Linked DNA regions of Struthio camelus. The protein of the gene in region 1 interacts with the protein of each later gene in a pairwise test. Links are inferred from orthologs where the notes say so. Each region holds a gene or a part of one and is shown on either strand. Other genes may lie near its edges.

Region 1 (3,740 bases):
TCATCATCACCGTTACGGAAAGGGGGGGGAGAGGGGAGGGGAGGCAGGAGCGGAGGCCGAGCCGGAGCGGCCGGCGTGGGGCCAGCCCCTCACAAGACCTGGAAGCGCCAGGACGCCTGGTCCTTGTAGTCGAGGCAGTCGGGGGAGTTGAAGTTGAGTTTCCAGGAGGCGGCGGCGGCGGCAGTGGGCTCCTTGTAGTCCAGGCAGTCGGAGGAGTTGAAGGGCAGCCCGGCGCCGCCGTAGCCCTGGTGGTGGTGGTGGTGATGGTGGTGGTGGTGGCCCGAGCTCTGGCTCAGCGGGTGGTGGTGGTGATGGTGGTGGCCCGACATGGAGGAGGGCCCCATGGGGCTGAGCTGGTGGGGGTGGTGGTGGGAGTGCATGGGCGCCAGGTAGGAGCCGCAATCCACGCCGCCGAAGTAGGACGAGGAGGGCGGCGCCGGGTAGCCTTGCCCGTAGCCCCCGCCTTGGCCGTAGGACACCGGGTAGGTGGCCGAGGAGGCGCCGGCCACCGAGCGCTGCATGCAGGAGGCGCCGCCGGGCGGCAGGGGCTCGGGCACCGTCACGGCCGAGGGCGCCGAGCCCGGCGAGATGGAGGCCGGGCTCCAGATGGACGAGGCCGGCGTGCTGAGCGAGGCGGCGGCGGCCGCCCCCGCCGGGGTGCCCAAGGCCGCCCCGGCGCCCGACGAGTTGGAGCTGGACGAGGAGGACGAGGCCGAGCTGGAGGCGGCCGGCGGCGTGAACTGCCCGCTGCTCTCCGAGCCCGAGCTCTCGCGGGCCGGCGACGACTTCTTCTTGGCCGGGCGGCTCTTGGCCCCGCCGCCGCTCTGCTGCTGCTGCCGGCACTTGGCCCGGCGGTTCTTGAACCAGACCTGGGGCAGGGAGACGGCGGGGCGGCTGTGAGCGCCGGGACCCCCCCCCCACCACCACCACCGTGCCCAGGCACCCACGCCCAGCCGCCAGCACCGCGCTGCCCCCCACCCCAGCCCAGCGCCCACCGGTACCTGCACGCGGGACTCGGGCAGGTTGATCTTGAGGGCCACCTCCTCGCGCATGAAGATGTCGGGGTAGCGGGTCTTGGCGAAGAGGGCCTCCAGCACGTCCAGCTGCGAGCGGGTGAAGGTGGTGCGCTCCCGCCGCTGCTTCCGCGGCGTGGCTGGGGGGGGGGGAGCGGGTCACGCCACCGGCCCGCGGGAACCAGCCCCAGCCGCCGCCGGGGGCCTGGCGAACATCTCCCCTCCCAAACCGCACTCCTCTCCCGCAGCCACCCCGGCCCACGGCGGGCAGCGGCGCCGACGGGAGCCGGGCCAGCAGCACGGGGACGGGGACAGGGACGGCGCAGGTCCGGCCCCGGTGGGAGCGAAAGGGAGATTTCGTTGTATTGAACTAAATCTCCATTTTTCTTTTTAGAAAAAGCCGTTTCTCCTTAAAAATCCCGGCGGGAACGAATGAGCGATGGGGAAAGGGGGTGGGGGGGGGAGGAATTCAACTGGGAGCAGTGCCCCTCTCCCGCCTCGCTCACCAGCCGGGCAGCCCCCCGCGGCACCCTCCCCGCCTCCGAACCCGCCCGCACGGGGGGGACTCACCCGGGTACCCCACGGAGGGATGCAGCAGGTCCATGGCGGGGCCCGTCAGCCCCAGCCCGTTCATGCCGTAAGGGGGCTGTTTAAGGTAAGACATCATGCTAAAAGCTGGGCAGGTTTCCTCCAGAGTACGGCGGCAAAAATAAAAACAAAACCAAACCAAAAATATTGGGGGAGAAGGGGGAAGGAAAAAAAAAAACCAACCACAAGGAGAACCCCCAGAAATGCCCCAAACACGGAGGCAAAAATAAAAAAAATTAAACTAACAATAATTAAAAAAAAATAGAAGAGCGAGCGAGCAAAACCGGTGCCAAAGGAGTTTTCTGTCGTTCCGTCCCGCCGCCACCGACGCGAGGTCCTCAAGCGATCGCCGGGCAAAGAAATAACAACAACAGTAACAATAATAACGAAAAAAAGAAAAGGAAAAAGAAAGTCAAAACGACGCCGAGGACGGGGAAACGAGGCGGCGGACGTCTTCTCGGCGGCGAGGCCGGCGCGCCTGGGGAGAGAGCGGAGAGCGGCGTCAGGGGCCGGCGGCTCCGCGGGCCGCGCAGGGGCCCGAGCGGGGGCGGGGGGGGACTGAAATTATTTCCCCCCCCTCCGCTTAGAGGAAGGCGAGTCGCCCGCAAGCACCGCGAGGCAGCAGCGCCCGGCGATGGGGAGAGATAAAGCAATTATTTAAAAAGATAATTGGATTAGGAGTCCAAAGGAGGTACCGGAGGAGGGAAGTATAATTAATTTAAAAGCGAGCAGACGGGGGACGTTTTAATTAGAAACGGCGAAGAGTTAAGGAGGGGGGGGGGAAAAAGGGGGCAAAGGGAGCGCGGAGGCAGCGCGGAGGCAGCGAGGCCGCGGGGGGCCAAAGGAAAGCGGCAGATAAGCGCGGAGGGAGGAAGGGGCGGGGAGGAGGCCGGGCTCCCCGCGCAGCCTCCGCGGCGGGCGGCGCAGGTGAGGCGGGCGGCGCCGTTGCGTAACTTCGCCGGGCCGCCAAGGGGGCGAGGGAAATAATAAAATAATAATAAGGAGAAGAACGAAACGGGATAAAAATATAAAGCGGCGCTGGGAAGGGGCCGCCCCGTCCCGCGCCGTCGGCGGGGGGCTGCGCGCGCGGGGCAGGGCGGAGCGGGGGCGCGCAGGGGAGGGGGGGGGCGCGCAGGGAGGAGGGGTGGGGGGGGAGGGGAGCGGTGCGGGGAGCCGCGCAGCGCAGCGCGTTACCTCGGCGTCGGGCGGCGCGGAGGGGCGAAGGGAGCCGCGGCCCGGCCGAGGATTGCGGCCCGCGGCGCGGCCCTACCCTTGTATGTGCGCGCCCGCCGCCTGCGTAACGAGCCCGGCGCCAATCCCCGGCCGCTCCGCGCCTGACTGACAGCCGCCGCGGGCCCGGCAGCGCCGCGCCGCGCTGCCTCCGCGCCCCCCCCCCTCCCCGCGCGCGCCGCGCTGCCCCGCGCTGCCCTCCCCGCCGGGGCTTTGCGGCCCGCGGGGACCCTGGCGCCCTCCCTTCTCCGCCCTCCCTCCCCTTTTTGGGGTGAGAAGAAGCCCCTCGCTTTCCTCCCCCCCCCTTTTTTTTTTGGGGGGGGGGAAGTTATGCGGAAAGTTGCACCTGGGAAAGTTGCGCGCGGCGGCTGGCGGCTGGCGGGGCGCTGCGCGGGCTCGGCCGGGCCGCGGACCTTCCGCCGGGCTCCGGGGCGCCGCTTCGGTCGCTCTCTCCAAATCGACTCCTTCTAATTGAAGCGGGAGCTGAAAGCGAGCTAATGTTCAAAGGCGCTGACCGCCGGCCCCAAGCGAACCCCGGGGGGGGTCGTTCCCCCCCTCTTTTCTTTTCTTTTCTTTTCTTTTCTTTTCTTTTCTTTTCTTTCTTTTTTTTCTTTTCTTTCTTTTCTTTTTTTTCTTTTCTTTTCTTTTTTTTCTTTTTTTTTCTTTTTTTCGGGCCGGGAGGGAGGCGAGAGGGGCCGGGGGGAGGTTCACCAGCTCCTCCGCTCGCCCACAGAAGTCAGCGGCACGGGCACTTCTCCCCGCAACAAAGGCGCCGCGGCCCATTCACAAAAAGGAGGAGGAGGAGGAGGAGGAAGGGCGGTGGGGGGGGGGGCAGCCCCCTCTCCCCGTTTGCCCCCCGTCCCGCCGGGGCAGTTTCCAGGCAGGGCCGCCCCCTTCTCTCTCCCCCCA
Region 2 (3,740 bases), on another chromosome or scaffold:
CCCGCCCGGTGCAGGGGGAGGGCAGGACCGAGGTCGCCGCCGCCTCAGGAGGACGGACTTCCCGGCATTTAAAGCGGCAGCGCCGGCGGCCAGCGCGCCGGGGATTCCCCGCCGCCGGCTCGGCCAGCGCCGGCCCCTTCGCCGAGGGGCTCCGACCCCCCCTTCCCCCCCCCCCGCACCCCCTTCGCTTTTTGACGTGACGCTCGTTTTCAGCCGAGCGGTCCATTAGCCGCCCCCCCCCCAGCCCCAGCCCCAGCCCCTGCACGCGTAACGGTCGCCCCGAACGCCCACCCCTCCCCCCGCCGGGGTAACGGCCGCCGCCGCGGGGTAACGGCCAGGGCGCCCCGAGGCGTTGATGCCGCCCTCGGCCCCGCTCCCCGGGCGCAGTAAGTCCTCGGCCCCGCGAAGGGCGCGCAATCCCGGGCGGCGGCATTTTAGGGGGAGGCGGAGGAAGGTGTGGGGGGGGGGGCGACGGCACGCGTGCGGCTCGGCTTCCCCCCCTCGCCAAGGAGGGCGACGCGTGAGTGTGTGTGTGTGTGAGTGTGTGCGTGTGTGCGTGTGCGCGCCACAGGCACCTGCTCGGCACTCCAGGCGCACACGTGCAAACACGCCGGCTGCACAGCCCCCACCTAGCTCTAGGTGAGCTCCGATTTAAAAAACAAACAAACAAACAAAAAGAAACAAAAAGTCCCGAACTTACTTATTCCCAAGGAGTCACTAATAACGGCAAATCCACGTAGCACTGGACGGCGATTAGGGCAGATCCACCGGGCGGGCGGAGGGCTCAGCTCGGGGGCGCCCCCGCTCCGGCGGGGCCAGCACCCCGCCGCCGCCGCCGCCTCCCGGCCGCGGGGCCCTCGGCGGTCGCCGCGTCCTAGTCGGCGAGCAGGGGAGATTCCGCTTCTCCCCGCCGCTCCCCTCCTCTCCCGGGGGCCAGGCTGCAACGGTCGCCTTTCCCTATCTCGCTGGTCCGCCGAGCGGGCGCTGCTCTCCGCAGAGGCGGATCGCTCCGTGCTAGCGGGACTCAGAGGGGAACACTTTCTTCGGCCGCCGGGCTCGTCCTAGAGGTGACGAAAAAAAATCAAGCCCTTGCTGCAAATGGTTTGTCTCAGCCTAGCGTAAGGGAGGGAAGCGTCTGGTGCAGGCTGCTGCAGGCACCGGCGAGCAGGATCACCTAGCGAGAGGCACTTGCGAAGGTCTCCAAGAAGACACTGCAGAGCCAGGAACGCGGGATTCCCGCTTTTCTTCCGCCGACTCGGGTTTTTTTAATTTCCCGACTGGAGCAGTCACACGCGATCCTTCCACGCTGGATGTGTGCGTGCACAACAACGTCCCCGGGTCCAGCTCTCTGCTTCACCGCATGGTCCTTGCTGCAAGTCCCTTCTGACCTCAGTGTCGACAAAGTGCAACCGTAATGCCTAATGCAAAAGATGTTTTGGAAGAAATCATGAAGAGACACTTGTTTTCAAGGCACACCTCAGCGACTGTAGCAAGCTGCAAACGAAGCTAGGGGCAGAGTGTAATGGCTCTGAGAGCTCGCTGCAGACTGCCATGTGCTTGCTGTTGCTGTTGGAGGCTGATTGACAGGCTTGGAGCACAGTCAGCGCGTCAGGGAGAAAAGTGCAATATAGGGCAACTCTGGACACACAATTCTTGCACGAAAGCCTTTAAAGACCCCTTAGTATTTCGAGGGGATCAAACAAGGTTCCAGCACGCAAGTGAGATCTGCACTAGGCAAGACGGGCAACTCAAGCGTTGGCACAATTACTTAACTGCAAGTTTTATAATTACCAACAAATTGTGACTGGCTGAACATCGTTTACCAGGGAACGCAGGGGAACGCTCTTCTGCCCGCCGCTCAGCCCAGACGATGCACGGCCAGCTAGTCAGTCAGGCTCGCCGCAGACCACACCACACATCCAGCTCGCGAAGCGAGGCGAACGCAGCGCGCGTTTCGCTCGCGCGTCCTATAAAGCGGTAGCAGCCGAGCAGCCCTGCAGCTCGCATCGCTCCCGTCTGCATCTGCCAGCGCGACCCCCAAGCCTTCAGACCGCGAGGCGAGCTCCGGGAAACCCCTCGCTCCCAGCGCAGCCCCTCGGCACCTGATGCGGCTCCGCACGCGTGCAGCGGCAGCGCGCAACACCGCTCGGGCTTACCTACGGCAAAGGTGAAAGTCCGCTTCCCAAGGCACATTTGCAGCCCCCGGCGCTAGCTCCTCCCCAGGCACTGTAGGCAGCCGCCGCTCCGCGCCGTCCCGCCGCCGTTCCGGAGTGACTCCGGCCGCGCTCCGCCGCCTTTCAGCGCGCAGCCCCCGCCCGCCGCCCGGCCGCGCCCCCGTGATGTCAATGTGTCACTGCGCAGCGCCCCCGAAATCCCGGAGTGGACTTCCGCGCCCTCCCGGGAGCCGCTCCCCCGCCCCGCCGCGCCAGCGCTCCCGCCGGGGCCGCCCCGCGCCCGCCCCCGCCGCCCGGGCCTCCGCCGGCGCGGTGCAGCGCGGCCGCCCGCCCGCCGCCGGGGCCCTGCGCTCGGCTGCCCGGCCCCGCCGCCCGCCGCAGCCCCGGGCAAGCCGGCGGGGGCGGGGGGGGGGCTCCCGGCCGGGGGCGCAGCCACCGACGCCCGCCTTCAAAGGCACGTGCTCAAAATGGGACTCGCATCCCGACCCCGGGAGCGCGGCTGCGGGAAACATTTATGACGTAGCTCTTAAATGAGTTTTTCACTGGTAAGACAAACTTTTCCCTAGTCGCCGCTCATGGGGTGCTTCCCCCGCCTCCCCCCGACCGCTGTCCCAGCTCAGCTCTGCAGCTGCCCCCAGCCGCGGGGCGCCCCACCTGCCCGCCCCCCGCCCCGCCGCCGCCAGCGCCCCGCCGCTCCCGGCCAGCAGGGGGAGCGCAGAGGAGCCCGTGTGCACACGTCCCGCCGAGAGCGTGGCCCGGGGTTGCCGACAAGGAGACTGGCCCGGTCCTCTGGAGCGACTCGGGGGCTACGCTAAAGGTCGAGCTGAAAAACTGCAGGCCCAGGAAAGAGAGATCAACCTTAAATCAACCTTAAAATGCTGTGCAGGGACGAGATTAGAAGTTGTAAATGCCAGACCCCATGGAAAGGGATGCAGGGAGACACTTCGGTTTTGACAGTGAAACCTACAGCAACATCTTTTATAAAGATCTTACAGTTTCCGATGTTTTCCTCTAATGCCGCTTAAACAGTTCAGAGAGATCCCTGCACACAGCGCACTCGTGCACACACACCCACACACTCCTTTTTTAAGGACAGCAGGCCCCATCTGCATGGATGACAGAATACGACAGTGCACAGGCAAATGTAGAAAGAGTGCATTTATTTCTAGGTACCAGTTGATAAAAGAGAGCATTGGTGAGGCTGAAGTCCTACCATGCTCCTCTGGTAATGTTACAGGGAGGTATTTGTATGTGTTTTATCATCGTCTTTCAGGCAGGGTAGAGTCAGATGTAATAGCTATTTGTTTATATTCATAAAATGTTTCTGCTTCTTTCAACCCATGAAAGGAGTAGCTGAGGACTTCACAAAGCATTTAACCTCGTAATTCTGCCATTGGATAGGAAGTGCTCTTCCCATTACGTGATAGATGAGTACTGAAGCACAGAGATGATTACAAGTTACCCCATTATGCTACTTCTCCTTTACTGCCTTACCACACTGGGATCGGCAAGGTTCCATGACAATTTCGTCAGCGTATTTCTGTAATGATGCTGAAGAAATCATAG

What was found.
Region 2: the proteins of OTX1 (region 1) and SPRY1 interact in binary tests that used the Homo sapiens proteins (3 or more experiments, as listed by UniProt). The two-hybrid records come from large-scale screens. The link is inferred for Struthio camelus from reciprocal best matches to the Homo sapiens genes OTX1 and SPRY1.

What each region holds. Positions count from the first base shown.
Region 1 is NC_090944.1:140,532,304-140,536,043, reverse strand, and holds the start of OTX1 (homeobox protein OTX1), read right to left. Parts: upstream 2,880-3,740; 5' UTR 2,796-2,879; intron 2,080-2,795; 5' UTR 1,681-2,079; coding exon 1,584-1,680; intron 1,154-1,583; coding exon 1,002-1,153; intron 870-1,001; coding exon 90-869; 3' UTR 1-89. UniProt on the Homo sapiens protein: Probably plays a role in the development of the brain and the sense organs. Can bind to the BCD target sequence (BTS): 5'-TCTAATCCC-3'.
Region 2 is NC_090945.1:18,748,534-18,752,273, forward strand, and holds the start of SPRY1 (protein sprouty homolog 1), read right to left. Parts: upstream 2,352-3,740; 5' UTR 2,157-2,351; intron 1,419-2,156; exon of another isoform or gene 701-1,418; intron 162-700; exon of another isoform or gene 1-161. UniProt on the Homo sapiens protein: Inhibits fibroblast growth factor (FGF)-induced retinal lens fiber differentiation, probably by inhibiting FGF-mediated phosphorylation of ERK1/2. Inhibits TGFB-induced epithelial-to-mesenchymal transition in lens epithelial cells.